Mytilus edulis: one gene and its partner. The protein of the gene in region 1 binds, or shares a complex with, the protein of each later gene. Links are inferred from orthologs where the notes say so. Each region holds a gene or a part of one and is shown on either strand. Other genes may lie near its edges.

What was found.
Region 2: dynein regulatory complex subunit 3-like (region 1) and dynein regulatory complex protein 8-like share a complex: the UniProt entries of both Homo sapiens proteins name them as parts of the nexin-dynein regulatory complex. The link is inferred for Mytilus edulis from reciprocal best matches to the Homo sapiens genes DRC3 and DRC8.

Annotation. Positions count from the first base shown.
Region 1 is NC_092352.1:28,250,875-28,266,812, reverse strand, and holds the start of dynein regulatory complex subunit 3-like, read left to right. Parts: upstream 1-8,885; 5' UTR 8,886-8,993; exon of another isoform or gene 8,994-8,999; intron 9,000-11,943; 5' UTR 11,944-11,963; coding exon 11,964-12,141; intron 12,142-12,666; coding exon 12,667-12,783; intron 12,784-13,285; coding exon 13,286-13,452; intron 13,453-14,254; coding exon 14,255-14,401; intron 14,402-15,046; coding exon 15,047-15,166; intron 15,167-15,904; coding exon 15,905-15,938. Other genes in the region: TOM1-like protein 2, read right to left, coding at 439-468, 1,193-1,249, 1,683-1,817, 4,694-4,840, 5,678-5,762, 6,658-6,742, 8,636-8,693. UniProt on the Homo sapiens protein: Component of the nexin-dynein regulatory complex (N-DRC) a key regulator of ciliary/flagellar motility which maintains the alignment and integrity of the distal axoneme and regulates microtubule sliding in motile axonemes.
Region 2 is NC_092346.1:91,311,272-91,327,651, reverse strand, and holds the start of dynein regulatory complex protein 8-like, read left to right. Parts: upstream 1-8,645; 5' UTR 8,646-8,719; coding exon 8,720-8,750; intron 8,751-14,290; coding exon 14,291-14,375; intron 14,376-14,641; coding exon 14,642-14,714; intron 14,715-15,339; coding exon 15,340-15,419; intron 15,420-16,207; coding exon 16,208-16,317; intron 16,318-16,380. UniProt on the Homo sapiens protein: Component of the nexin-dynein regulatory complex (N-DRC), a key regulator of ciliary/flagellar motility which maintains the alignment and integrity of the distal axoneme and regulates microtubule sliding in motile axonemes.

The DNA of each region.
Region 1 (15,938 bases):
ACAAAATGTCTGCATCAGACTTTAAAAAAAAATGTGTCCAATACGAAAAGGATATTCATGAGAATTATCTGACTTGAATTTCATTGATGAAATATTGGTTTTCACAATGCATTAACACTTTAAAACTGATGATTTTTTTTAACTTAAAAAATACTATGCGAATCAAGTATATTAAAAAAAAAATCCATGGAGGAAAGGGTTAATACTAGTATTTCTCTCTTCCTAATTTCAATCATTTATCCATTATTTTTAATCATTAACATTAACATTTAGAATTTAAACATGACCTATTTATTAGACCTATGCTACAGTTGACACCTAACAAGACAAATAGAAAACAGATAGGGACTACTTTCAATCTTTGTTTTGGGGATAAAAGACGCTAACAGAGTTTACTAATAAGATACATGCATCAACAACAATTCAAACAAACCAAACCTGAATTTCTTCTCTTACAACATATTTCATCTGCGTGGAAAAATTATCATTGGTAAGAAAATCACAGTATGCTTAATGTCTTAATTAGATGCTATCAAGTGAATACAAAGAGATGTAGACACACATTTATAACACCTTCTAAACAGCATTTAGAAAAGTTAAAAATGTCTACTGTCAAATTTAAAATACAGTGCAAATGTAGGGAGCAACCATGACAAAATACAAATATTTACTTCACTGTTAAATTGAAAAAAATAAAAAGAATCTTTGTTTAATTTCTAAAATATATAGTCCTTTGATTAGATTCCATTATAACAAAATCGCAATAAAGAAAACTTATAGTTGGACATTCATTTTGGTGTAAACAGTTATCTCCCCTGATCCACAATTTTTGGATTTTCATGTTCACTTTATCATTACCAGAAAGAATTACAGATTCAAATCAGAGCACTTTTAATTTATTGTTACTGTTACCTTAAAATCAATAATAGCCTTTTCTCCAAGGTTAGGACATGACACAACTCAACTAAAAATTCTTTTATGTAAATAAAATTAAGCACAGATTTGAGAAAAATATTATCATGCAAAAATTAAACACTGGTTTGAAAATTGATTGAGTATTCCAAAAGCCAATTTGAAACATTCAATTACACTGTACAAATATGAATGAAAAATGGTAATGCAGTATTAATACAATGTAGTAGTTATGAATATGGATATGTGTAAGACTATAAAATGAAGGGAGATAACTCACTGCTCGTAAACTTGGTTGTCTTTGTTGTCTGATAACAGGTTCAGGTTCTGGTTGACTCTGAAAAATATAATAAGATGTCAAGGTAGATTAAGATTGGTTTCTTATATTTCTTTTTTGGTTTTTATCCTTTATAATCATTTTCTTCCAGAATAACTCATCTTATAAAACTGCCTTTCAAAGATGAAAAAAGCATTAACTTGCAAGTTCACAAAATGAAACTACCTGGATTCATATCAAATTTAAGTCATCTCCTTTTTTTTAAAATATCAGACTGGACCATTTGGCTTTCATGCAAATCTCCATAAGTTGTAACAATTTTTTCTTTAACTTGAAATCCATTAGTTTGTTTTAGTACTTAGAGCAGTTGCACTTGATAACAGCACGTTCATTAACAAGGTTACAAACTTATGTATTGTTCAATGCAAATATTTCACTAAGGAATATTGATTATAATGTGTGTAATTTCATTTCAAAAGTCCTCTATACATACCCTTTTTGGTGTGTGAATTGGTGCCATATGATCTAGATCTGTCATTGGGAATTCAATTCCTTTTCCTTTCAAATCATTATAACATTTCTCTACTTCCTTCAGGTCTGGTTGCCCTTTAAAAGCATCTGACCAGGACTATAAAAAAAAATTAATTTAATTATTTACTGTTATACTACTCTTTTAATCAAATATTCTAGCAATACATTTCTATATATTTTGTATTTTTCACTTAAACCTTTGTAACTTTCTTTTTAAATAAATTCAAATATTTTTTTACTAAGGGCTATTCCAGAAAAAAATGTATGGGGGTTGGAAGGCACATTGTATTAATAATACATGGGTGATGGGTATCAGAGCAACTTTTCACACTATAATGCACTATAATTCTCAATTACAATTGTCTGGGTGGCGGGTGATGACAAACACTGCCTTCCAAACCCCCATACATTTTTTTCTGGAATAGCCCTAAATTAAGAAGATACAAATCAGTGAATTTAAGGAAAACAACTTTAAAAAGACAGATCAATATCCCATATAAAATAGTTTACCTGTCCTTTGAACAGGCAAATTATAGCTGTCAAACTAATTAACCTTGATTTTAATAAAGGCAAGGTCATGGCAAGAAGATTGCGTAAACTTCATTTCTCTCTCTCTGAATTATGTAAAATAGCAAATATGTCCGGTTCAGGCTCTGAACAACCAAGTCCAGTGTATGATTCGTCAGGCTTGACCAGACAATTAGTCCGCCTTGAAAGCCCTGTTAGGTAGACTAAATCCTCTAACCTCATTATGACAGAATGATTTGTATATTTAGATGTTGACTCAGTTTTATCAACCCCTTAAAAAACAACATGGTCAGCTACAGGTTTGAAGCATGTATTGATTTGCAATTAGATTATTTATATATATATCTATAAGGGTGCTATAAACAGTTTCGTACTAAAAACTAGGGGTATTTCCCCAGTGAGATTTACATACTGATGGAATTCCCTGCTATTTATATACCACTAAATGAAAAAGTTGATTGTTTTTTATGTTCAATGTGAAAAACATATATTGAAGTTCAATTAAAATGCCACTTTTGTCAAGATTTAAAAAAAAAAAAATGTTTTTGTGACTTCCTACTATATGGGAGGCAACTCCATAAACAGCTGATTTTCACCTGTTGTAAAAAGCACTTTGATTTGTCAGGTAAGATAGCTCCTTTCGGAGCAGGCGAACGTAGGCTGAAACTACATTTTCTTAAATCAGCCGGATAAGCTCTTCGAAATGCATATTATAAGAAATCTCAAATATATGCACAGGTTACTGATCCGTGTGTCCAAAGGTGGTCTGTTTTTAAGGTTTTTTAGGGGGAAAATGCCTAATTTCCAGCTGATAACTTGTACCAATTTGCATGTTTAACAAGAGATGTTGGATTTTTTTTTATTTATTCAGAAAGTTCATAGAATTATCTTTCCATTGATGTATAGATATCTATATAACTATGAATATCTGACTTCTGCATGATGGGTCCACTATTACATGCCCTTTTACAGAATGACGTCACGTAAAAAACTGTTGATTGCACCCTTAAGGGACAAATACAAAATATTAGTGATGTTTTAGCATAGAAATGTGTTTGGGAATGGAGTAAAATAATTCTGAAAAATATTGTACGGCATGTATACATTAATTTAAAAGCATCAGTTTGGTATATTTAATGCAAATATTACAGATTTGTACATAGCAACCAGATATAAGAAAACCAGACTCTGTGCGAATATTGAAGTTTTTTAATTTTTTGCGACGTCATGATATTTTTATTCAATCTCTCATATATTTGGAACCAAAAGTTGCATATGAAAAGTGTAGATTTTTTCTACTTTGACCTTTACTCCTGATCAGTGTTACATAAAGTTTTATTCATTATAATATATATTTGGTACTTTTTATAGTCAAAAAGGTACACATGCCATTCCTAAGAAAAACACTATTTCAATATTTTCTCAACTCAGCTATAACTTAGTTCATATAGTACTAGGAACAAAATCTATTTAAAGTAACTTTATTCATGCCTATTTCATAGTTTTTATTCTATTTATTTAAAAGAAACCCTATTTTATGATTTATTTTCTTTGTAAAACTGATGAAAATGTGATACAGGAAATGTTTGGGATTTGCCAGTTAAACTGTTTGCCACTGGCCAATATGCCACTACCGCGCGACTTAAAAAAAGAGCTGTAGTTTCACTATTTGTGGTCACAATCCTTAAAGTAAGACATCATTTTAATCGGTATAGTGTACAGATTCAGAAAAGCTGAGAATTTTTTATATATCACATACAAGGTTTTGCTTAAGGGTGCTATAAACAGTTTCGTACTAAAAACTAGGGGTATTTCCCCAGTGAGATTTACATACTGATGGAATTCCCTGCTATTTATATACCACTAAATGAAAAAGTTGATTGTTTTTTATGTTCAATGTGAAAAACATATATTGAAGTTCAATTAAAATGCCACTTTTGTCAAGATTTAAAAAAAAAAAAATGTTTTTGTGACTTCCTACTATATGGGAGGCAACTCCATAAACAGCTGATTTTCACCTGTTGTAAAAAGCACTTTGATTTGTCAGGTAAGATAGCTCCTTTCGGAGCAGGCGAACGTAGGCTGAAACTACATTTTCTTAAATCAGCCGGATAAGCTCTTCGAAATGCATATTATAAGAAATCTCAAATATATGCACAGGTTACTGATCCGTGTGTCCAAAGGTGGTCTGTTTTTAAGGTTTTTTAGGGGGAAAATGCCTAATTTCCAGCTGATAACTTGTACCAATTTGCATGTTTAAACAAGAGATGTTGGATTTTTTTTTATTTATTCAGAAAGTTCATAGAATTATCTTTCCATTGATGTATAGATATCTATATAACTATGAATATCTGACTTCTGCATGATGGGTCCACTATTACATGCCCTTTTACAGAATGACGTCACGTAAAAAACTGTTGATTGCACCCTAAAGATTATCTTTACCTGTATAGAACTTAAGACTTTTTCTTGAAGAACTGTTGGTGGGTCGTATTTAGGACCAATTATTTTGACTAAGTCACCCATAAAATCTTTTGTGGCTACTTGCTGGTGGAATTTTTTTCCACAATTCTTCACACATGTCTCCAAACACTAAATATACAAAGAAATAATATACATTAGGTACAAATAAAACAAATAACTGATTTTGTATAACAAGTAAAAATAAAATAAAATTTGCCAAAACCCTGAAAATATAAATATTTAGGTCTAGTAATATCATCAATTAATTTTTCATGATTGGGGCTTGAAATATTGTCGCAATTGGTGGTTGACACTGATCAGAGATAATTTTGAAGCAGCGTATTAAAGACTCAAAATTCCTTAATGTTTTTAAAAAATTTAGCTAAAATAATCTATTCCTCAACAATCGATTTAAAGTTTTGTAAACATTTGATTTATAAAATAACCATTTCAATGATATACCAAAGTCACTACTGTTTTAAAAATTCTTTGTTGGGTCTGACTGGTCACAATATTAATTTAATTGGGCTTCATCAGAAAGAATTTTTTTTCTTGATGATCAAGTTTTATTTTTAAAAATATTCATTTTCAAACTCTGAGATCATAAACAGCAATTACACACTTTCCCTTTGCTTTTAGTGTTTTTTGCTATACATTTACTGATTGTGTGTCACTGATGGATACACCATATCCTTTGTTTTTTCTTTTAATATATTTTCATGATGAAGTTTGAATATTTTTAGGAATAAGTTTTTTTTAATTATAGGAAATTTCATGTTGTTTTCGTAATGCATCAACAGGCATGTACATTTTATGTCAATACAAATTAATATAATATATTGTTATTATCTTTGAATGTCATCTAAGTAAAATAAAGATTAAATAAGCCAAGTTTTTCATGTCACATGTTTGACCTTTTAACATACATTGTACAATACTTAAAGAAAGGGGAGTCTAGAAACTTACTGTTAAAGTGTACATAACTGCAGTGTGATTCTTTCCCATATTTTGTGACAATCTTTTCTTAATTGCTTTAATAGCATCTTTTGGTCTGTAAAATATACAGAAGAACATTTATAATTTATATAAATCTAAATTCTTCATAAATAAGCCTCAAAGTTGCACGAGATAAAATTTAGGATGACCACTAGTAGGAACTGTTGTTCTTCAGTGGCAAGAGATAAGACCTACAGACTGTTGCATTAAAATGGAAATCTTTACCAATCACATTATTCAAATCATATTAAGCATTACCTGTTAAATCGTGCATTCTGTATGTGCCTGTCCGAAGTCAAGAGCCAGTAATTTATTGGTTGTTGTTTGTAGCGCATGCTGTGTTACATATATTGTTTTTTCGTTCATTACTTTGTAAATAAATTAGGCCATTAGTTTTCTTGTTTTCTTGTTTTACATTTGTCATTTTAGGGCCTTTAATAGCTGACCTAATGGTATTGGCTTTGCTCATGAATGAAGGTTGTGGGGTAATCTGAAGTTGTTAATTTCTGTGTCATTTGGTCTCTTGTGAAGAGATGTCTCATTGGCAATCATACCACATCTTCTTTTTTCATATTTACTGCAGAATTACTTCTGTGAGAGCACTATTGTGAAGGAATGGTACAGTTAAAAAGACTTGAAAAATCCAAAAAAAATCAAAAAAATTTATACATTACAATTTGTAAATTTTCCAACCAGAACATATCATTGTCACTATATGTAGTATAGTAAAATATTTTATTATAGCAAATGTTAATACATCTGACAACTTCTATCAAAAAATATCATGCACCTGATATATTAGACATCCACTCATTCTACTGGCTGACCATCCTTATCAAAACAGTCTGTTCTATTTCCAGACTTGATATGACATCAAAACACATAAATAAAGAGGCCATAAACATACTTTTAAATGACTTTAATTTATATAGCTAATATAAGTATCATACCCTTCATCAGTGTCATTAATTACATCACAGATTTCCATAAACAGTCCCCAGTTTTCTGATGCTTGTGAACCATCAGTGCTTTTTTCTGAAAATAAGAAAATCACAATAGAAAACATGTTTTTTCTTTACCTCATTCTTTTAATTTTTTCTTTTATCATGTTTAAAATACAATATGATTGCACCATAATCTGATAATTGTTGTGCAATACCCTTTAAATGTTAAAATCAAAGATGTTCATAGTGCACCTGCTGACAATTTTCTTGGTTTATATTCATTATAATTTAACAAACCACACATTTCAACTCAAAAGAAGTTTATTGTTGTTAGTAATTATTGTAGCCACAAAAATTTGGTCAACACAGGGTGCAACGACGGACGCTGTCATGGAAAATGAGCAAGTTCTAGGAGTGGGAACTTGTAAAATATTTCACAATTGATTCAGTACACTGTAGGGAGTCAAATCTGGAAATAACTCTCCCAACAGGAACTTGACTTAGACTAAAACTATTTTCATTTGTATTTGTTTACAAGTACAACATGTCAATTAAACATTTATATAGAAAACTGTGTGCTACTCTGTACTCTCCCATTAAGGTTTTAAAAAATCCACCCCTTACTCCTTAAAGTTTGCTCAGGAATAAATGCATTTCAGTTTTCAATTGAATAGTAAATTTGGTGATTGAATAATTGTTCTATGTTTGTTTCACCGTTTGATTGATTATTGGTGTTTAACACATCTTGAAGCATTATCAGCTACAGCTACGCATCCAAGTTTTAATGGTGGAGAAAGCTGGAGAGTGGAGTCAGAACAACCTTCAGCACACCTGCCACATGCAGGGTTTTTACAATGTACATACAAACTCAGTGTTGACAGGCTAGTGATTGCTGTAGATAAACTTCTAAGACCATCCAGGCCCTGGTTTATCAAGGGAAACACCAGAATTCAGGAAACTGCTAGTTTATTTTTGCATACTCTAACAATCAATGTTATTATGTGGATAAAGTTCAAAATTAAAATTGCACAAACAAGTGTTTAATTCATAATATGCATTTAATTTCTCTATATTCATGTTCAAGATAAAGTTACAACTACTTATAACTAAATTATTTTCATGAAATTGACCGTTTCAGAATCTAAAGCATCATGGGTAATTTCATTGTTCGTACCCCAAAGTTAAAATAACGTTACGTCATTGGTTGAATTTCCATTGTTTATAACGTTTTAAACCAATCAAAACGCTTTGGTGTACGCTTTTGAAAATATTACCCAGAATGCATTAGATTCTGAAACGGCGAATTGTTTTAAAATTTGTTGCAAGATACGATGATCTTACCTTGCTTACAGTCTTACTTAGTTCTTGTTGACATTTGCGATTTCATTGAACAGGTTGGGAACAAACCCTCTATATGGTGATTATACCTGTATAGAGGGATAATCCTTCTATAGAGGGATAAAATTTTTGTTTAGACTGGATTTGCAGACACACTTGATTCCTTCAAATGTCTGTGTCATAAGAGAAAAATTCTGATGTCACAATGCAAGTGATTTTTCATGACAGCAAAAGTTAGTGTTTCGAAATAATAGATCATACATTGGTGATTTTCAAATAGTGATACCGTAAACATGAATAAAAAAATTCAAACAGTCACCCCTAACTTTATCCAAACATGGATGATGGAAGGAAGTTAGGTTTGGAAATTAAGTCAGGAATGAAAGTGCAGCAATGACAGTATTTTCAAGTATGTTCATTTTTTAAAAGAAAAATATAGAATAGAAGTTTAGAGCAAAATGATGGTCAAGGTATCAACTATGTCTCAAAAAATATTTATGGTCTCTTTTTTTTATTCAGACTTTCATTCTATTTTCTACCTTTCTCTCCTAAATTGGATTGACATTGTGTTTTGTTGTTATGTAAGGGAGTGTATGTAATGTCTCATCTTAAATATGGGCTGTTACTTCTCACTATAAGCTCTTACCAATCATCTGGCCTACAGGTGTAGCCAGAGGATTCCCATGTCCAAAGAGGGCAGCCATTTTTTTTGTAAATATTGCGTGACGTCATTTGCGTGATCTATTTATAGAATAGTCTTGTGACTGGCATAAAATTTCGACCAATATTTAAAATAATAATTTCTTTCTTCACGTTACAAAATGTTTGGTTTCCTCTCATATTCAAACATCATTTTAAAATACATATTTTCGTGGAACGGAAGTACTTTTAGAACCGGAAATAACAGTCGACATAGAAACAGGACGCCATTTCCCACAATTTTTGAAGCTTCAAATCGACAAATGTGAGAAATCATTGAGGTTACAGTCGTTTCTACTCAAAAGGTTAATGTCATCTTCAATAAATTACAATGAATGATATAGTTTTAATAATTAACAACTGCCACTCGCATTTACTAATATTTAAAACAAATAAACAAGCACTCAACAAAACCAAAATAGTCAATAAAAAAAAAGACAATATCCCTCTGTTTTTCAGGGTTGCATTTCATATGTTAGAAAATATGACCGCTTGATGATTGTGGTGTGACATGCCAAACAATGACGTCATTCACGTTTGCCCTAGTACTAGTCTAAATAATTATGACGTCATGGACGTCTTGAAAGGCTATTATAATTTTTTTCCAAATTTCTCAAATTCCAAATTTTTGAAAAGTTTGAAGAAATCTGTAATTGCAAAATATTGCATAATAGATTTGTAAGATCTTGACATTTGTTTTGTGTCAGAAACTCATATTATGTCAAGAATTTGATCACAATCCAAATTCAGAGCTGTATCAAGCGAATCCAGGTCCTTTCGCGCCCATTCACGTTCGCACCCACTCATGTTCGCCCCCTTTCACTTTCGCACCCTACATGTTCGCACCCAAAGTATGTTCTCACCCTACATGTTCGCGCCCAATATCAACTTTGTAATCAAGTAGTATTCTTATAAGTATTATTGTTTTCATTGTCTCAAAATAAAGTGATACAGCATTTTTTTTTGTGTTGAATAAATCTTAATCATGTTTTGGATAGTGTATTGTTAAAAAAAAAAATATTCCTTTCTAAATAAAGTGGGATTCTGTCAACATTTTATTTTGTGTTGAATAACTCTTTATCATGTTTTGGTTAGTGTATTACCATAACTTTGTTTCATTGACTTGTTTCAAAATGAAGTCAGATTCTGACTATGTTTTTTTATTTTTGAGTCTTGAATAAATTTTATCATGTTTTGGTTATAATAGTGTATTGCTATATTTTATTGTTTCATTGTTTCAGATCAAAGGGACCAAGCTGTTAAAAACAATTATCTTTTGTGTTTTTCATTTATAATCTTCAATCTTTTACTCATACCAAGCTATAAATACATTCAGTATTTACCCGAAAGCAATTAAAAACAACAATGATGATTTTCCAATTATTCAACCGGAATTTGAATAAAAATTGGGCGCAAACGTGTAGAGTGCAAACGGACCTTGGGTGCAAACGTGCGAGGTGCGAAAGTATATTGGGCGCGAACGGACCTGATACCGTATCAAGCTTGCATGAATGTTGTGTCCATACTTGCCCCAATTGTTCGGGGCCCTTGTTTATTTTGTTTAAGGTACAGCACTGATGAGAAGCTTACATAAATTAAAGCATGGACATACATGTACAATGTATGTGTCCCACTCCCTCTGACACAGTTTGTGTCGACACATGTCCGGCAGCAAGAGGGTTAAATCATAATGATTTTTATAAATGTCTATCTCTTACAACCACAATTTGTAGTTTGTGTTTTAAAATTTATAGAGAGAAGAAATCTTTTTTTATCATCTATACATCTTTTCATGTCAGAGATTACTCTGATGTCCAACAGCAATTTTTGGGCAGACAAGATCGTCTGATATATCTAAAAGTTGATATTTGACTTCCTAAATGTATGCTCTGCTTCATTGCTTCTACAATAGAGTATACTGACTGCATTGTCCATATACATTGGTCATCAATTTGTTCATTTTTTTATTTTTCTCATTCATGTAAGTGTCATCTGAATCCTAAAAATATGTTCTCCCCCTCTTTATTGGGTTTGTTAAATAATTTTGTAATCTAGATTTGGCAAGTGTATTATTATTATCTATTAAAAAATGAAAGATGAAATCTGAATTATGTTTGAGATTGTGTATTGCTACAAGACAAGACACGAGTGAAGACAAGATAAATACTTTATTAAAGTCTCACCACTTGTTACATATAAAATATACAGTTTTTTAAAACACAAATTAACAACAAGAGCCACTCTATAAAGAGTTATGAGAGATATAAAAAAAATATTCTTAAATTATACTACAAATACAACTTAAGTCAACTATCATGAATATAAAATACATTTTTGCTTAATTAAAATTTCAGAGCAGATTTTGGCAGTTTTGACATGTAAATAAAAAAAAACATTGTTTCTAAATCAAGTGAGATTCGAACAACGTTTTTTTGTGTGTTGAATAAATCTTAATCATGTTTTGGTTACTGTACATGTATTGCCTTAATTTTTTTTGTTCGTTGTTTCAGATCAAAGGAACCAAGCTGTTAAAAACAATTGTTTTTTTGTGTGTTTTCATTTAAAATCTTTAATGCTTTTCTCATGACAAGCTAAATACCCACAACATGCAGTGTTTACATCATAGGCTTGAAGCAAGTCAAAACAACAATCATGATTTTCTAATAATTCAACTGGAATTTGATTTAAAATTGGGTGCAAATGTGCGAGGTGCAAATATGTAGTGTGCAAAAGTATATTTGGGTCGAATAAACCTGATACCGTTTCATCTACCTGCCTACCATTATCTTCTCATATTATTATTGTAGAAGAAATACGACATTGATATCCTCATCCTCATACATAAATGTGACAGATCACTTTTTAAAAATATTCTGGGATTGTCAATGGATGTAAATTTCTGTCTAGACTTTAATATTTTGTTATTTAAAATTTGTCAGACTCCGATTCAATAGAATTTAGCATAATCTCATGACCTTCGTCAGTTTTTAACAGCATGAGTGAGTTCCTTCTGATTAATAATCAATGTACATGTAGTTTGTCATAAATCTTAATATGTGAATTAGGTTTTTTTTTAATACAGTATTACCATTTTGATGACAAAACAAGAACTTGGACCTATGTCATTTGTTTTAAATTTTCATAACTTTAAGACTCTAATAATACATGTACAAAAATGAACATTGATTGAAAATAAGACAATCATCCTTTTTAGTTTCTTTCCATTGTATTAAATATGTGGATTTTATAATTCAGATCCATCAAAAGCAGCAAAAATGAGTGCTGTAAATTCTATGTCTCGTATGTACGATAACTTAGAACCAACAGTTATCGATGAAGATTTACTCAGATCTGCTGTTGAAGAACAAGGTCCCAAAGAAGAAGCTGGTAAAATAGCTAAAGCTGAGGGGATAGACTTTGGTGATGTTAGATCCTTGAGATTAGACTTCAAAAGTAAGTTAACAAATAATTTAGCTGTGTTTGAACAAGATGATGCGTGTAAAGTGTCCTATCTGAATTATGAGAAAAAATATATGAAAATGTTTGTTAAAAAAATATTAAAAAAAATTACATGTATATTTTTATTATCAACAAATTCCAAAGTTCCTTTGCTACATTGTTTCTTGTGGATGTAATATTTATATTGTAAATACCTTGTTGTTTTGGTATTTTATCGAAAAAAAGTTTTATATAGTTTTTGTTCCATTTAAAAATAGTTTTTCAAATTTGTAGCCTCCTGGCAAAAACTTAACTTTCCTGATTTAAACGTTTGTTGAAGTGAATTTCTTTCACTTTTCTCAATAATTTTATAATTATTAAGAATACAAATTAACTTTGAGAGATCTCTTTTTGTTGTTGCACGTATGTTCATTATATATATAAATATATATATATATTTGTATATGTCTATAAATCTGCTTTCATTTTATATTATGTGAAAAGAAATTGATCAGTAAGTCTTTTTTTTTTATTTTCCAGATGTTTTGACAATTGACAACTTATGGGAATTTACAGCTTTAACAAAATTACAGCTGGACAACAATATCATAGAAAAAATAGAAGGACTAGACTCACTGGTAAATCTTATTTGGTTGGGTAAGTGTATAAATTTGTAAATCAAAGAGGGTGTTGTCAATACATAATTATCATGATTTGAAAAATACAAAGTAATATATGTGGGTATACAGAACTGAGATTGGAACTGGAAACATTGATAAACCAGAAATTAAACACATAGTCTGCCACAATACTATAGTCAAGTGTCTGTAGCATATGACAAGTTTTCTAGATGACTTCTAAATACAGTATTTGAGAACTGCCATCAACACAAATTCTTTAAAGAACAAAAACATAAATTATTTGATTCAAACGGGAGTTTAAACATCAAGAACAGTTTTTCTCCATCTTTTGGTTAACTTTCATCCATCAATATTTACAGAAATCAATCATTATCATGCATCATTATTCCCCATCTAAAAATGAAATATGACTATTTCAATAGAAAGAAAACCATCGTTCATATATATTTATAATCTTGTTATATATTAGAGGAGATAACTATTAACTTTAAATTTTAACAGCAAATTTGTTTTTTCAGATTTGTCCTTTAACAACATAGAAGTAATAGAAGGATTGGGTCATCTGACTAAATTAGAAGACCTTACTTTATACAGTAACAGAATATCAAAGATTGAAAATATGGATAATTTAGTAAATTTACAGGTGTTTTCCATTGGAAACAATATCCTGAAAGATTTAGAAAATGTAAGTATCAGCATTGTATTTGGTTTAAGAAATTTTGTAGCTTTTTTCCTGTAAATAATCTTTCAATTTTGAGTGAATAGTTATATGACTTTGATTGTAAGTTAAAAGGAAATTAACCTTTATTCCTCAGTACATCGATGAAAAGTGTCTACAGTGTCTAAGTTTGACAGCCAAATAACCTTTTTTAAATAACCATTAAAGAAATGAAATGCCATATGTAGTTATTTGCCTTCATTACTTTTCCTAATATTAACACATGTGCTCAATTGTTATGTTCAAACAGAAGTATGTGGAAAAATTGATAGCAATGTAACTCAGCATTTTGCCTTGCCACTCTGCCTTGGTGATTTTTTTCTGTTTATTGTAAGTTTGATAGTTATTAGTCAATACTGCTGTGTTGATAATGACATAAGTTTTGACTGACAATACTATAATTTATTTAGGTTTTTTTGGGGGGTTTTATTTGTGGAGCAGGGACCTGACCATATGATATCATACAATGTATTATTCTAGCACTGTCAAAAGTTGTAGCTCTGACTCTTACTTTTACTTTGAAACTAATCTAAATCGTAACGTAAACCAAATAATTGCCTTTTTTCCAAACTGGAAGGAAATGCAAAACCCAGAATCTGTAAGTATTGGATAATCTTTACAACTTAAAAACACTATAGTAGGGGCAATCAGTTAATATTTTGAAAACTTGGCTTCGCTTTATACATTAACATGTGACTTTCTGACAATGAAATTTCCATGGTTTTCAATAATCTAATGTTTTCTTGAACAAGTTTTATTTTATTTTCAGGTTATATATTTAAGGAAATTTAAGAAACTTAAAACATTAACACTGAAAGGGAATCCATTTTGTGAAGAGGACACTTATAAACAATATGTGATAGCATTTCTTTCAGACATAGGATTTCTGGATTATAAATTGGTTCATCAACAAGCGGTAAGTTTAATCCTTTGATAACAAAAAATCAACCTTTTAGACTGAAGTAAAAAGGGAATTTTCAACTCATTTTTTTTTTCATGTGCATTTTTGTTATTGTAATTTTTATTATTAGAAATGAAACATTAAACAACATTTATCTCAGAATATTCTGAATGTATGAAGACTTGGTTAATCTTATAGGCAGGGTTGCACACAATTACAAAACTGACTAAAAGTATGGTAAAGTGTGGTGGTGGATTGGGGAAAAGTGGTATCTACTCTGTCGACTCCTTCTACAGATCTCAATACAGATCCTTACAAAATTATACAAAGATGACACATGTATAGAAATTGTTCATCTTATTAAATGGATTTAATGGTTTTTTTTCTCAATTTTAATGTTCTTTATAATTATAGACCTTTTTCCATAATTTTACATTCATTCTGTGCAAGACTGCGATTTGAGTCTTTGAACCCGTTTAACAATTAAACTTGAACAAAGATGAAATGTACCAAGTAATTAATTGTTCATTTTCTTTTAATGATTTTGATTATTGAATTAAGTTTCTGTTTTTTTTGTAATCAAGATTATACTATTGTGAAAGAAAGTGTATTAATTCAATGCATGATATTAACTATTATTTATTTTTTTTGTATGTTCAGAGAGAGGCTGCCATTGAGAAATATATGATTCCAAGAGAAGAAATGTTACACAACGAGAAACAGGCTAATGCTATAGTAGAAGAAGATAACAAGAGAAAGATAGAGGTTGAATTACATAAGGTAACATACAAAAAATATTTCTCCTTTATTCAGATAATATTTTGTCTTCTTTTTTTTTCTTCTTATACCCCACCTAGGAACAATATGTTTTCAGTCTTTGTCCATCTGATTGTCCATCTGTCAAGGTAGTTTTTAATGAAGTTCAATCAACTTGAAACTTTTCACATGTTCCCTATGATATGATCTTTCTAATTTTAATGCCAAATAAGAGTTTTGACCACAATTTCACAGCCCAGACCACTGAGCATAGAAAGTGATAGTGTGAGTGGGGTATCCAAGTACTATGGACACATTCTTGTTTAACGATTGACTTGATTTTTCTTTCAATTTAAGCATTTTGAGAAATATGAATGTAAATTTTGTACATGTATCACTTTTCAGAAAAATAGGCACAACGAAGTTCTCGTTGGTGCTTGTTTCATGATACAGTCATTAGCTCAACTAAGCTCTGTAATATTTTTTAATAGACTTAAACTGTTTTGAATTCTATTCACAATCGAAGATTTCATGGATTTATGAGATACTTAAATTCATGTTTAAATAATTATTTATTTATACAGATAAATGAAAAATTATAGATTTTCAGATGCCCATACAATTACATAATATTATAATGATTAACAAGTACAGGTATTTGTAGTTTTTCAATACATTTAGGTAAAGAAGGATTACAATCACTAACTAAGTTACTTAATATAATCAGGGGCATAAGTAAAGCATAGTATTTGTTTATTTTAGATTGCTTATGTTGAGAACATGGATAGTGACAGCT
Region 2 (16,380 bases), on another chromosome or scaffold:
TTACAGTTAACCTTTATAAATCAGTAATACATATAACGAAATTTAATTCACCAGTTTACTGCAAGGATGCAAAAAGAGTTTGTTTGACTCAAATAGTTTCTATATTTTATATAGATAGTCCTTTATTTATGGTTGTTGAACAACTGTGAATTCTTTTACAAACTTCCACCTAAAAAAGGTAATCCTTTAAAACAAAAGATGAAATAGTGTTGCAATATTGTGAAAAAGTACTTCCAAAGACACATATAATTAATCTATGTATTTTTTATGCCCCACCTACGATAGTAGAGGGGCATTATGTTTTCTGGTCTGTGGCTCCGTTCGTCTGTGCGTCCGTCCGTTCAGGTTAAAGTTTTTGGTCAAGGTAGTTTTTGATGAAGCTGAAGTCCAATCAACTTGAAACTTAGTACACTTGTTGCTTATGATATGATCTTTCTAATTTTAAAGCCAAATTAGACTTTTGACCCCAATTTCACAGTCAACTGAACATAGAAAATGAAAGCGGGAGTTTCAGGTTAAAGTTTTTGGTCAAGGTAGTTTTTGATGAAGCTGAAGTCCAATCAACTTGAAACTTAGTACACTTGTTGCTTATGATATGATCTTTTTAATTTTAAAACCAAATTAGTCTTTTGACCCCAATTTCACGGTCCACTGAACATAATAAATGAAAGTGGGAGTTTGAGGTTAAAGTTTTTGGTCAAGGTAGTTTTTGATGAAATTGAAGTCCAATCAACTTGAAACTTAGTACACATGTTCCATATGATATGATCTTTATAATTTTAATGCCAAATTAGATTTTTTACCCAATTTCATGGTCCATTGAACATGAAAAATGATAGTGCGAGTGGGGCATCCTTGTACTTTGGACACATTCTTGTTGTAACCTATTATTAAGATATTCATATTTTATTTCCTACAAAATCAAGTCCCTGAATTGACTGGTTGACAAATCGTTAGTGAGATAGATAGTGAGATAGAGAGTGTGAAATATGGTGCTGAAGTTTTATCAGAACTTTATGTATGTATGTGTCTTAATCTATGCAATTAGATTAATAAAGCTTATTTAAATTATAAGATCTGAGTTTAATTTTTATACATGAATAAAGAAGATGAGGTGTATAGGTCAATGAGACAGCAACCCAAAGACAAAAATAACAAAATACATCTAGAGAGTAACATGCAGTCTTCAACCAAAGACCTGTCTCTAAATAATAAGTCTTCAAACTCTGAATTGTTTGGAATCTATTGACGATGTGGATAAATTGATAACACTCAATTTCTGAATTAATGAAAACAATATAATACATTAAACCACAAAAAAATATAACCAAAAGACATCTAGCAGGTAGCTTGCTGTATTCCACAATAGACAGGTGATTAGGTCAAGTCTTTGAAAGCGGCAAAAAACTATAGGAACCATTAAAATCAATTTTCCCAATTTATAGATACATAAAGAAATAATATATTACTAGAGGTTTTCCTGTCTAGGTCCTCATAAGTGGAGTTACTATTTTTGACTCTCCTACGATGAAGTATTGGACAGAGAGACATAGCTAGCTGATGCATCTAGTTGTTCAGTTAGTTTGATAGGAACTACTTATGATACATCATTGATATTTTCTATAAAGTTGCATAACTATCAGTACTAATCAGTATGACAACTAGTTCAAGGCCTTGTCCCCTAAGTCATGGCTAAGGTTTCAACTCCCTCAGGCAAAGTTGGCTTTAGATGAATTTGACTATTTATTTTAGGTATATTTGACATATAGCTCTTCAAAGATTCTCGGTACTTATCTATCTTCAGATTTCAAATGTTTGGCTTTGAGCGTTCCTGATGAAGGTAAATCCAAAAAAGCGCTTCGGACGCAAGAAATTATTAAAAGTGTTGTTTTCAATTTTTTAACTGTTCTAGACTTATGCCCTTTATAAATGGAAAAATTGCTACATTTTTAGTTTTGTTTCTAACTTAAGTTTACCTTGACCAAATGTTATAAAACTTATACACAATGCTTATTACCACAAAACACAGATCAAGTTTGAATTTTGGTGGTGTATCATAAACCTTTCAAGAGTTATGCCCCTTTATAAATGGAAAAAATTCTGAATATTTAGTTTCCATTCTCGAACTTTAGTTTGCCAAAACCATATGTTATGAAACTTATACACAATGCTTATTACCACACAAAACAGATCAAGTTAGAATTTTGTGGTGTCACTACCATAACATGAATTCCACAATGATCTATGATATTTTCCATATTTTCATCCTTGTTTATTATTCTACAAATAAGAATATATTTAATTACCTTTCATCACATCTCAGAATGTGACCAATTTTCTGATTCTTTTACTTTCCAAAAGCAAAATTTCTGCTGCCACTTATAGATCAGAAATTCCTGACAAAACCAGAGCATCACTGTTAACCTTTTTATTTCCTTTTTTGCTCTGTTCATGCTGTAATTGTTGTCTGTGTGTTCTTTTTGCTTTGTTCATTTGTTCTTTGTTTGTTCTTCATTTTGCATTGTTCGCTGTGTTTTCATTATGTTCATCTTTTTGCATTGTTAATGTGCTGTTATCGTTATGTTTTTCATTTTGAATTGTATGTGGTTTTATCGTTATGTTCCTTTTTGCATTCTTCATTTTGCAATGTTTTGGGTGTTATTGTTATGTTTTTCATTTTGCATTGATCGTGGTGTTGTCGTTTTGTTCTTCATTTTGCATTGTTGTAGTGTTGTCGATATGTTCTTCATTTTGCATTGTTTAGGAATGTTAACGTTGTGTTCCTCATTTTGCATTGTTTGGGAATGTTATCGTTGTGTTTCTCATTTTGCATTGTTTGGGAATGTTAACGTTGTGTTCCTCATTTTGCATTGTTTGGGAATGTTATCGTTGTGTTCTTCATTTCGCATTGTTTGGAAATGTTAACGTTTTGTTCCTCATTTTGCATTGTTTGGGAAAATGTTATCGTTGTGTTCTTCATTTTGCATTGTTTGGGAATGTTATCGTTATGTTCTTCATTTTGCATTGTTTGGGAATGTTATCGTTGTGTTCTTCATTTTGCATTGTTTGGGAATGTTATCGTTGTGTTCCTCATTTTGAATTGTTTGGGAATGTTATCGTTGTGTTCCTCATTTTGCATTCTTTGGGAATGTTATCGTTGTGTTCTTCATTTTGCATTGTTTGGGAATGTTATCGTTGTGTTTCTCCATTTGCATTGTTTGGGAATGTTATTGTTGTGTTCTTCATTTTGCATTGTTTGGGAATGTTAACGTTGTGTATCTCATTTTGCATTGTTTGGGAATGTTATCGTTGTGTTTCTCATTTTGCATTGTTTGGGAATGTTATCGTTGTGTTTCTCCATTTGCATTGTTTGGGAATGTTAACGTTGTGTTCTGCATTTTGCATTGTTTATGGTGTTATCGTTATGTTCTTCATTTTGCATTGTTTATGGTGTTATCGTTGTGTTCTTCTGTTCTTCATTTTGCATTGTTTATGGTGTTATCGTTGTGCTCTTTATGTTGCATTATTCGTGGTGGTATCGTTATATTCTTCATTTTGCATAGTTCGTGGTGATATTGTTATGTTCTTCATTTTTCATTGTTCTTTGTGTTATCGTTATGTTCTTCATCGTGCAATGTTTGGGGTGTTATCGTTTTGTTTTTCAAATTGCATTGTTCGTGGTGTTGTCGTTTTGTTCTTCATTTTGCATTGTTGTAGTGTTGTTGATATGTTCTTCATTTTGCATTGTTCATGATGTTATCGTTATGTTCTTCATTTTGCATTGTTTTGGGTGTTGTCTGTATAATATTCTTTTGTTTTTGCTTTGTTCGTGTTGACCAGAACAATTTGTACAAACTTGTAAATGCAGAAAAACAAAAGAACCAATAACGTTCCTTCAAACGAGGTGATGTTAGTCATCATATATACAAGTCGTACAGTCTGTGTTACGTGTTCCATCTTAGACCAGAGCTGAGCGCTCAAACAATCATGTTTAACCCGCAACATTCCTTGTGTGCCTGTCTGAAGGTCAGAAAATATAAGTCATATTTGTTGTTGGTTGATGTTCCCAAAAATATTTTAGCACATAGCATAACTGTAGTTGAAATCAGGTCGTTGATGTTCTCTTTAGAATGTTTGCACATTTAGAAATTAGGTGTCTGTTATGGTTTACTTTATACACGGTTAAATGTGAGTTTTTTGGTGTTTATGGCTATTTGTTTCATTGGCAATCATAACACATCTTCTTATTTCTATATAAATCGTGTTCATGAAAAGATTGCGTTTGAAGTTATATTAGAAATGTTTGATATGATTATCACCAATATTCTATGCATTTAAAAAAAAAAAGAAAAGAACCTTATAATTTTTCTCAGCAACACAATTTCAATTCAGAGGGAATACAACCTGTAATTAGTTGTCATTGTCGTTTTTTTTTTCTTTCTTATTTTCTTTTCTTTTCTTTTATTGTTTTGAATTGTATTTAGACAATATACGTATAGTGTCTTGAAATATGAAATTTATTTGTATGAGGCTTAGAAACGGGAAAATGCGAGGTTCTACATTGATTCGGCAAAATATCCTTATCGTGATTCGTCAGAAGTGTTATATTAAGGTATATAGGGGGATCTGAGACAAATACCTGTGATGGCAACAGCAGAGGCGGATTTAGGGGGGGCCCAGGGGGCCCGGCCCCCCCCCTTTTTGGGGAAAAAATTTGGTTGCTTATATAGGGAATCACTGAAGCGTGACTGGAGCGGGCCCCCTCTTAGGTCAGTCAGTGGGCCCCCACTTATGAAAATTTCTGGATCCGCCACTGAACAAGGAAGTTTATTCCATGTCCATATTCTCCCTTTGTCAATATCAACTTTAATAGCAGTTTCTTCCGATTGAATTATTGTTCTTTAAAATAAATTTAGCAGAACTTCGGTTGTTTTTCGAAAGAGGATTTCTGATTGTCAAATTGTAGAAATGTCAATTTTGTACCTGTAAATCTGAAAATATTGATTTCTTTCTTATTGATCTCTATCATGAAAGTATGTCTGATTTAGGTCCTATATATACTCATCGTCTCTTGTTCGTTGTGGAGGTTTGCAATGTCAGGTAGGCACGACTTGCCTGTTATCTTTAGCCTTTGGCACTACCTGACAATGTAAAATCTTCGTTTTGACATACGGAACATATAAGTTCTTGGGGACAGAACAGTTACAAGATTTTTTTTTTGTTAACCTTTTTTTCTCTAAATCCGTTAGGTTTTGGTTTTCCATTTATTTCAATAAGTTTCGTGCTTTGCAAATCAATATGAACATAAATATGCTAGAAATAACTTTAATTTGCTGTTTCCTATCAATTCCTAGTTTATTCTCCATGTGCGATCAGTGATAATATAAAAAACATGTTAATTATTTAATTGAGAAAATTTAATCGAATAGAAATCTAATCAAAAATTATTCATGGAATTAGAAAAAAAAACCATTTTAACTGCTTTATAATATAATAAGATGTGATGATTTTAACGATCTTGTAATGTAACTGATAAAATTAAACACCACAAAAATATGAAAATATTTTAAAATTGAAATCTTTTTTATTTTAAAATATAATTTGGTGCCGAATTGACCATGAATGTGGAATGCTATATTGAGTATATATGTCTTTTTAAGTATATATAGATATATAAACATTTTATTCATCATTGTGCGAAGTGTTCCTTTGAAGGAGAGATTTTCTTAACCAGAACAGAATACATTTTTAGACTCCTAAATTCGTGAAGCAGGCCAAATCGCCCCACTGGCAAATCGCCCCAACTCGCCCCTTAAAAAAACTAATCTACACAGAATGCAAAAAAAAAAGAAAATTTATTTTATTATTATTATTGAAATCAAATGATGTTTTACTAAATCTGAAATTATAATTCTAAATATTAAGGATTTCAATTAACAGCAATTTGTTATCATAGCACTTACTTTGAGTCCAAATAATAATGACGTCTGGCAAGGCTATTTTTTTTCTTTCTGCGACGCCTTCCTACGTAATAGCCTTGTCAGACGTCATAATTATTTGGACTAAGCATTTACCGGATTGGTTACTTTTGTCTTTGAATCATTGAAGTTAAGAATAATCCAACCCTAACGAGCAATCATTGAAGACAAATGTTACTTTCAAGTAAATATTAGAGAGAATGCCCATTCGTTCATTTACAAAAAAAATGAAAACAGAATCGCATAGTAAAATTAATAAACAGTACAGGGAAACAAAAAAACTGATTCAGAAAGAGACAAGAAAAGCTTATTGGACATATCTGGAAAACATCATTTGTTACGACGAAAGCTTACAAACCTCGCAAAAACAGAAACAAAATTGGAATTATATTAGGTCCACCAAAAAAGACAGTTCGGGAGTTGCACAATTAAGATCTGAGGGTATGCTGATAGACGACACAAAACAAAAAGCTGAAATACTCAATAAACAAAACCACTCTGTTTTTACACCTGAAAATAATAAAAAAAAAAAAAAAAAAAAAAAATACCAACTCTATCAGACAACTTTCTATCTATGGCCGAAATTCATGTTACACCAAATGGCATAGAAAAACTTTTGAAAAATCTTGATACATCTAAAGCTACAGGTCCAGACGAAATACCAGCACGCATTCTTAAACAATTTGCACCTGAATTTGCACCTCATCTCGCTTTCATCTTCAATACATCTTTCTTGAAAGGAGATGTGTCAACAGACTGGAGACAGGCAAATGTGATCCCTATTTTAAAAAAAAAGGCGAAAAATACCTAGCCAGTAACTACAGACCTGTCTCCCTAACCTGCATTTGCTGCAAACTGCTTGAACACATTGTTGTAAGTAACATACTGAAACATCTGGACACACATAACATCCTTGTGGATAATCAACATGGCTTCAGATCTAAACGCAGCTGTGAAACACAACTACTTACTTTATGTCATGAACTACTTAGTAACCTCCATCATGGCGTACAAACCGATCTTATTATTTTAGACCTTTCCAAGGCATTTGACAAGGTACATGTACCTCACAAAAAAACTATTAAGGAAGATGGATAACTATGGCATAAGAGGAAATACCTGGAATTGCCGGGGTCCTTAATAACAGAACGCAACAGGTTGCCCTTGACGGAGAGGTATCTAGTCAAATGCCTGTGGTAAGTGGGGTGCCCCATGGCTCAGTCTTGGGTCCACTACTTTTTCTCATCTTCATTAATGACCTACCTGCAGCAGTAACACCAAAAACACGCTTGTTTGCAGATGATGGTATCTTATACAGAAACATAACAAATCACCAAGATAGTACCATACTACAAATTGACCTAAACTGCCTAGCCAAATGGGAACAAACTTGGGGTATGCAATTCCATCCAGAAAAATGCAACTCTCTCACTGTGACAAGATCACAGTCACCATTCAAACATGACTACGTATTAAAAGGCCACATTTTAGAATCCGTCAGCACAATTATCTCGGTATCACCCTTTCTCACAACATGTCTTGGGACACACATATCAACAACATTACTGCAAAAGCAAATAAGATCTTAGGCTTTCTTAAAAGAAACTTAAAAATAAACCAGGAAGAAACAAAAAGTTTAGCATACAAATCCATGGTACGTTCGAATTTAGAATACTGCTCTTCAGTTTGGTCCCCTCACACCCAAAAACAAAAAAAAAACAACATTGAAAAAGTACAAAGAAGGGCAGCACGCTACGTCACCAACAGGTACCACAACACCAGTAGTGTCACTCCCATGATTGACTATCTTCAATGGAAGTCACTTGAAACTCGCAGAAACATCAATCGAGTAACTATGCTGTACAAAATCTCACACCATCTCATTGCAGTAGACCCAAACCTTTACCTTTTACCACAGCCAGTCAAAAACACCAGATTCACTAATTCATTACAATACCAAACATTTAACACAAGAACAGATTACTTCAAGTACAGCTTTTTTCCATTCACAGTTGTACTGTGAAATTCACTTCCACAAAACGTCATCAGTGTTAACTCCCTGGATCAGTTTAAAATACTGATCCAGAGTCAGTATATTTAGATATCCAACCTGTTTGTAAATATGTAAATGTGTTAATTTTTGTTTTGTTTTTGCACAAAATTATTTTTGAATTATTGCACTCATTGGTTATTACATTTTATTAAGTGTCTGTTTGCGATGCGCCGACGTATAGTCATCAATGTAATGATGGATCGTCGTATGATGTAGATGAAGATGTACAATAAGCGTGGGTCTTGTTTTTGTTAGTAAAAAGACAAGGCAGGTTTTATTGTTGATGAAAATTTGATTGGTAAGTTTTTTTTATGGTTTGAAAACATACATAAATGAGAAATTTATAAGTGGGGCGAGTTGGCATTAATAATTTTTTATCGTGGTTTTTCTATTTGTCATGATTCAGATTGGGGCTAGTTGGCAGACCTTAAGGATTTTAACCCTTTTCATAATTGGGACAATTTATCCAACCTATTTTCAATAGAATTTTACCCTTTTCATAAGTGGGGCGAGTTGGTAAACCAGAGTGGGGCGATTTGTGGAAAAGTGGTGCGATTAGGTGTGGGGCGATTTTCCAGTGGGACGATTTGTCATTGATTCCTAAATTCGTTTTCCCTACAAATCGCACTTGTCACAGGGGGAGATAATTACAAGTCAAGGTCACTGATTAGCAACCAATATAAACAAGATGGGTGATGCTGAACAGAAGGAAAACGCGGGTAGGAATTCACAATCACGATCCCATCATTATTAAACAACTTCTCCATAAATATATACCCTTACTGATGAAGGTCGAGGAAATAAATTTGCAGTTTTGAATCATAAATTATCCTAATATTTGTATGAAACTTTCACGAGAACCAATTTTTTTTTTATATTGTTATTATTTTCAGATGCACAGCTTGCTGGTAGTTGTATAAATTAAAGCAACAGCAGGATAACGATAAGCAATTGAACTAAATCGATCCAGCAAAAACAAACTGGTTAAAACTAAAACCCAGGGGAAACACATCGGAAACACATCAACGACATATATGATATAGGAGGAAAACAACTGAAAAAAAAAACCAAACATGTATGATACAAAAAAAGGACTAATTGATAACAACTACCATATTCCTGACTGGATACAGAACATTTTAAGAAATAAATAGTTGGCTGAACCTTGTATTATGGTTAGCAAAAACTTGTGGTTTTATGGTTTATAGCCAAAACTCATGCTAAATAAATATATGCCACTGTTAAAAATACAACTAAACAGACAACATTTTGTAAAGGATGGGTCTCAATTTGGGTCCAAGTTGACACGATTTGGCCAATTTTTTTAAGCCTGACACATGAATGTCTCATATTTAAGTGTGAAAAAGGGATACAAAGTCTAGCGGGACATTGGAAATTACATGAGTTATTACGGCAAAGAGAAACCTAAAACAGGATTCTCACTAAACAATTTGCGGGATCTTGGATCAGACCCCCTTCACAAATGTGACCCCCTATAAGGAATACATTACAAATTAAAACAGGAACAATTTATAATAGAACAGAGATATACATGTGGTAATTTTAAGATATTAATTTGAAAGATCAGACACACCATTAGGTGGTGTCACCATGTGCACAATATTCTTTTTAACAGTATGTAACTATAGTAAGTAATGAATCTAAAGGAGCTGAAATTGAAATGACATTATCTTTTACAAAGGGGGTGTTGGTAAGTAATATGTTTGGTCATGTTGGTAAATGTATGTTTGCTTTGTTTTTGCAAAGAATTTTTTATACATATATTACATAAATACAAGACAAATAAAATTAAAGCTTCTCAATTATATAATTGCAATAAAACCAAGATCAGCCAGGAGCCTAAAATTTTGCTGGCAAAACGATGATTTAAATCTTTAAAAAAATTTGAGAATCTCTAAAATCTAAATCTACCTGGCCGACTACTTCATAGCAAAGTATTAACATTCAAAACAATTCAAATAGTAATCTTAGCCTCTGTTTGAATTATCATTTTACAACGATTTTTATCTCGCATAATCTGTGGAATTTTTATATTCATTGACTAAAAATTGAAAAATAAAAGGGTAGAAGGACAGCTGATGGATAATGTGATTGCAAATGTACGACACATGGCCAGCTTGTGATCAGCATTATATTCGACAAAAATCTCTTATGTTTGTATTGTAATATCATTATGTGTACTGAATCAAAATAAAACATTTATATTCAGCAGTGGATTTTATTCAGGTCCATTTCTTAATAAAGAAGATATCTATTATATAAAAAAAGAAAGAAGTTTGCTCCACATATCTTCATTTATAAGCTTATATCTTTCACAGGAATCCCAATTTACAACTGACATGATGTTCTTGACATTCACAAATGTTTTACAAAATAATGACAAGTTGTGATATAAATTATATTGTACAGTCATGTGGAATTCATCAGATAAACTGGACTTTAAAAACTAAATTAAGGCAGCTTCACATGAAATGAAGGCAATCATGATATACCTAGCCTACTACTGGATGTCCAAGGAACACATTTTATTTAAGTTTAATTTAAAGTTGACAGTATGAATGAATAAATAAATAACAACTATATATTGTCTAAAGCTTTATTAAGATTTTTCAATAATTACATTTGTACAATATCATATGAAACAACTGCAAGTATATTTTTTTGTTGCATATACAAAAAAATTCTCTTAAGCAGGAAAACACCATGCAACCAAAACGTTTCCGAATTTCACTTCTCAAAGAAATTGGCCACTTCTCCATACTCTCTCATGGAAGCAGTTCTCCCTCTCCAAAACTAGATTAGACCCTTAAGATAACATCCCTTTCAGTATACATTAAATACTGTTAGATAGTTTATGCCCTTTTGAAGTTTTGGTTCTATGCCTAACCGTTTTATGCATTTGCCTTCTGAACTTTTTTGGTCTTGAGCTACCTATTAAAGGTTATTCCAGAAACATTTGTACTTTTAAAATTAAGAATGTTATGGTACAGTCATTTTCCTTCGGAAAGTGATTAGTTCAACCAGTTTTTACAGCATTATCAGGGGTTGGTCCAGGATTTGAGTTTTAGGGTGTAAACCTTATAATTTTGCCAACCTCTGAGCAAGTTAGATTTTTTTTCTATTTTTAGTATGCCCAAGTTTAATTTTTTCCATTTTAAGGGTTCCACAAAGGCGTACTTAAACCCTACCTGACTTTGCCCATGATTAAACCAGTAACAAAATGTGCAGTCTTTAAAGTTTCATTGTTTTGCATTTGCTGTGAATGCTTGTTAATGTTGCTGATTCATGAATATTCTGTTATTTACATGTTTTGACACTAAAGTCAATTGTGTGATGTTTTTATACGACCGCAAAATTTGAAAAATTTTTCGTCGTATATTGCTATCACGTTGGCGTCTGCGTCGTCGTCGTCGTCCGGCGTCCGAATACTTTTAGTTTTCGCACTCTAACTTTAGTAAAAGTGAATGGAAATCTATGAAATTTTAACACAAGGTTTATGACCACAAAAGGAAGGTTGGTATTGATTTTGGGAGTTTTGGTCCCAACATTTTAGGAATTAGGGGCCAAAAAGGGCCCAAATAAGCATTTTCTTGGTTTTCGCACTATAACTTTAGTTTAAGTTAATAGAAATCTATGAAATTTTGACACAAGGTTTATGACCACAAAAGAACGGTTGGGATTGATTTTGGGAGTTTAGGTTTCAACAGTTTAGGAATTAGGGGCCAAAAAAGGGCCCAAATAAGCATTATTCTTGGTTTTCGCACAATAACTTTAGTTTAAGTAAATAGAAATCAATGAAATTTGAACACAATGTTAATGACCACAAAAGGAAGGTTGGTATTGATTTTGAGAGTTTAGGTCCCAACAGTTTAGGAATTAGGGGCCAAAAAGGGACCCAAATAAGCATTTTTCTTGGTTTTTGCACCATAACTTTAGTATAAGTAAATAGAAATCTATGAAATTTAAACACAAGGTTTATGACCATAATAGGAAGGTTGGGTTTGATTTTGTGAGTTTTGGTCCTAACAGTTTAGGAATAAGGGGCCCAAAGGGTCCAAAATTGAACTTTGTGTGATTTCATCAAAAATTGAACAATTGGGGTTCTTTGATATGCCGAATCTAACTATGTATGTAGATTCTTAATTTTTGGTCCCGTTTTCAAATTGGTCTACATTAAGGTCCAAAGGGTCCAAAATTAAACTTAGTTTGATTTTACAAAAATTGAATCCTTGGGGTTCTTTGATATGCTGAATTTAAAAATGTACTTAGATTTTTAATTATTGGCCTAGTTTTCAAGTTGGTCCAAATGGTGTTCCAAAATTAAACTTTGTTTGATTTCATCAAAAATTGAATAAATGGGTTCTTTGATATGCCAAATCTAACTGTGTATGTAGATTCTTAATTTTTGGTCCAGTTTTCAAATTGGTCTACATTAAGGTCCAAAGGGTCCAAAATTAAACTAAGTTTGATTTTAACAAAAATTAAATTCTTGGGCTTATTTGATATGCTTTATCTAAATATGTACTTTGATTTTTGATTATGGGCCCAGTTTTCAAGTTGGTCCAAATCAGGATTCCATATCAAGTATTGTGCGATAGCAAGAAATTTTCAATTTGCACAGTATTGCACAATAGCAAGAAATATCTAATTGCACAATATTGTACTATAGCAATTAATTTTCAATTGGAGTTATCTTTCTTTGTATAGAATAGTAGTTGATAATATATGTTGGAAATTTGCCAGACATGACTATGATGTCATTTTCTATTTTTATTTGCCAATAACTTTATGTAAATAACTTCATTGGAAATTTGCCAATATAAAATGTTGCTGATGAAGCTTTTTTTCCTTATCTTATCTAAAATGTTTTTAGATAATGTATGTTGGACATTTGCCAGACATGACTATGATGTCATTTTCTATTTTTATTTGCCAATAACTTTATGTAAATAACTTCAATTTGCCAATATAAAATGTTGCTGATGAAGTTTTTTTTTATTGTTTTATACAATAAACAATGTATATTCACTTTTACTACCACCCAATCTTTACCATTCAGTGATAACAAGCACTTTATTTTACATTTTAATATTTTATGATGTATTTAAAAGAGTAGTTATTGTTGCAAACTCCATTAGAAATTTGAATTGATATCAGTTTTGGAAAAAGGGAAACGGGGATGTGAAAAAAAAGGGGGGGTTTAAATTTTTCTCATTTCAGATTTCTTAAATAAAAAGAAAATTTCTTCAAACATTTTTTTGAGAGGATTAATATTCAACAGCATAGTAAATTGCTCAAAGGCAAAAAAAAACTTTTAAGTTCATTAGACCACATTCATTCTGTGTCAGAAACCTATGCTGTGTCAACTATTTAATTTTAGATTTAAAAAGTTTGAAGAAATCTTTAATTGATTTGTAAAATCTTGACATTTGTTTTGTGTAAAAAAAAACCATGTAATGTCAAAAATTTGATCACAATCCAAATTCAGAGCTGTATCACGCTTGAATGTTTTGTCCATACTTGCCCCAACTGTTCAGGGTTCGACCTCTGCGGTCGTATAAAGCTGCGCCCTGCGGAGCACCTGGTTGTCATTTGTTGCTTAACAGTGTTTGGGATAGTTTATATATCATCTTATCTTTTTTTGGTAGCACAAGTGTGCCTACATGAACAATGTATATCAACATTTAGGGGTTAATTTTGATTTTCAATATATAGTAACATAACTATATGTAGCTAAACATGTAGGTGGCTTAACAGTATATTTTTGTTTTTGACGTTTTTATGCGTTTTTGTATTGATATCTTCATACTGAAGTTATTAGCAATTAAATTCGGCTCTTTAGTTGATTTTTGACATTCTATTACCTTATAGCGGGTTATTTTCACAGGGTGTAAATTTTTGCTTATATTCGCGGATAGAACAAAATCACTAAAATAAATTCCGCCAAAAATTAACAGCTAAAATATTTTGTATACCTTATTCATTGAAAATCTCGAAAAATAACATGCTATACGGTATACATGTATCTATGTCCAAGGCCCATCCCATTTTGAACCTGCATGTTCCTTTAGTGATGCAGTTATGAAGTACATACCCAATTTATAATATAATTCACATGTATATTGATATAATTTTCTCTTGAAAGAATTGTTATTAAAACCTTATTTGAAAATAGAATAAAACATGTACATGTCCTTTAAATGTTAACTTATACTTTTCATTAACTTATACTTTTCAGATTCTTTAATAGCTGATATACAGAAAAGAATAACAGATGCATTTGAAATTTTTGACAATGAAAGCAATCAGACAGTTGATGTCAGGTGATTTATTGTACTGAATTTAATTTTCAAGTACTGAATGCCTCAAAAACAAACAAGATGTAATGATTTTTAAAAGCTTCATGTATTGACAAATTTTATGGCATGCAGTGACACCTTTAATTTTTTGATGATTGAAGTTACATGTATCATCCACCTCAGTTATGATCAGTTTACACGTAAATGATATTTTTATTATGGATGTCGACCAACTACTTCATTACCAAGTCACTTCATGTTACTTGAACCTATATAATTTTATTTTATAGAGAAATAAGTACCATCATTAGATCACTAGGTTGTGTTCCTAGTGAAGCAGAATTACAAGACATTTTGGCAGAGGTAAGAAAAATGTGATCATACAAAGATAGAAATATTGGTAAAACATGTAGCATATTTGAAATAATTTTACACCTATCTGGAATGTGAGCAAAGAAAGACCACTCTTTTTAGATTTATCTGACTTTCTACAACTACATGGAGTTGTAATGGAAGTTAACCAGTAACTGTATAATGAAAACTCTTAGTTATTTGTTGTAAATGAAAATACAGCACACACATACATTTGCATTAAAGAGAAAGAACTATCAAGAAAACATGATTTCTACATCAGAAGATTATAGAACTTTCAGCTTGGTTTCAGTAACTGCAAGCAATCTGTTAGTTTGTTTATGAATATCGGTCAACAAATTACACAGTACAACAAAATTCTGAGAACAGATTATTTCAAATTACTAAATAAGTGAATACTTTTACAAATATTTGAATAAATAAGGGTATCCAATGCATATTACTTTTGATGAATATATAAAGCATGTTTGTATTATGCATATGTTTATTCCTTGTATAACTAATTGTACTAAAATCAACTATTGTTAATGTATATATTTATTATTGACAGATAGAAGAAGAGGGTACCTCATTGTACTAAAATCAATTTGTTAATGTATATTTTTATTATTGATAGATAGAAGAGGAGGAACCTACAGGATATATCCGATTTGAAAAGTTTTTACCCATGATGACAAAAACATTGATGGAAAGAAAGTAAGACACTTTAATTGAATTTACATTATTTGAGTATTTGATCAGTACATTGGTTGTTAGGTGAACAGTTTATTTGTAACAATCTGTAGTGAATAAAGAAAGAACAATTTGTTGCATTCATTCTATATGATTATATCTTTTTTCTTACCGCTGTCCCATAGTTTGCTTAACTGGCAATAACAAATTTAAATCCTGAAATGGATCTCTTGGTCTATCTACCAATCAAGCAAATACGAATTCACTGTTTCTGTACACACTCAGTTGAGACAATGAATGTGTATGGTGATATGTTAATGTAAATGGAGCGGCTGGAAGTATCGAAATGGCTTTCCAGTACTGGAACAATTTACACAAATCATAGTAAATGTCATCTTTTTGACTATTTTTAAAGCAAAACTATGAATATCTTTATTTCTTAACTCAGAAGTGTGTCTGGAGATAAAAAAAGTAATTTGTTTTCAAATTATTTGGATTTGGTTTTTATCCATAAGATCGGATATTTACTACAGTGATTGTGGTCAGTTATACGAGTTATGGAAATCACCATAGAAAGTTTTATTCTCTTATTTTAACCACTGGGATGCTGTATGTTAGTGGTGTGACCATTGTTTGGCAATCAGGAGATGAAAATTATATTATTGATATGGAGTTGTAAACAAAATTAAAGTTTAAAGATGAAGTTTACATATCATTCCAGATGTCAGCCTTTTGACCAAAGAGTGTACACATTTTATTTACGTTTACCTATAATTAATGAGAGAAAATAAGATATATTTAAAACTTTTCAGATATAAACCACAACCTGAAGATATGATATTAAAAGCATTCCACGTATTAGATCAGGAGGGAAAAGGCTTTCTGTTGGCAGAGGAACTTACAAAATATATGATGGAAGAAGGTATGTAATATCAATACCAAGTACCGGTACATACAAATTATATATTATTATAAAAGTTCTAAC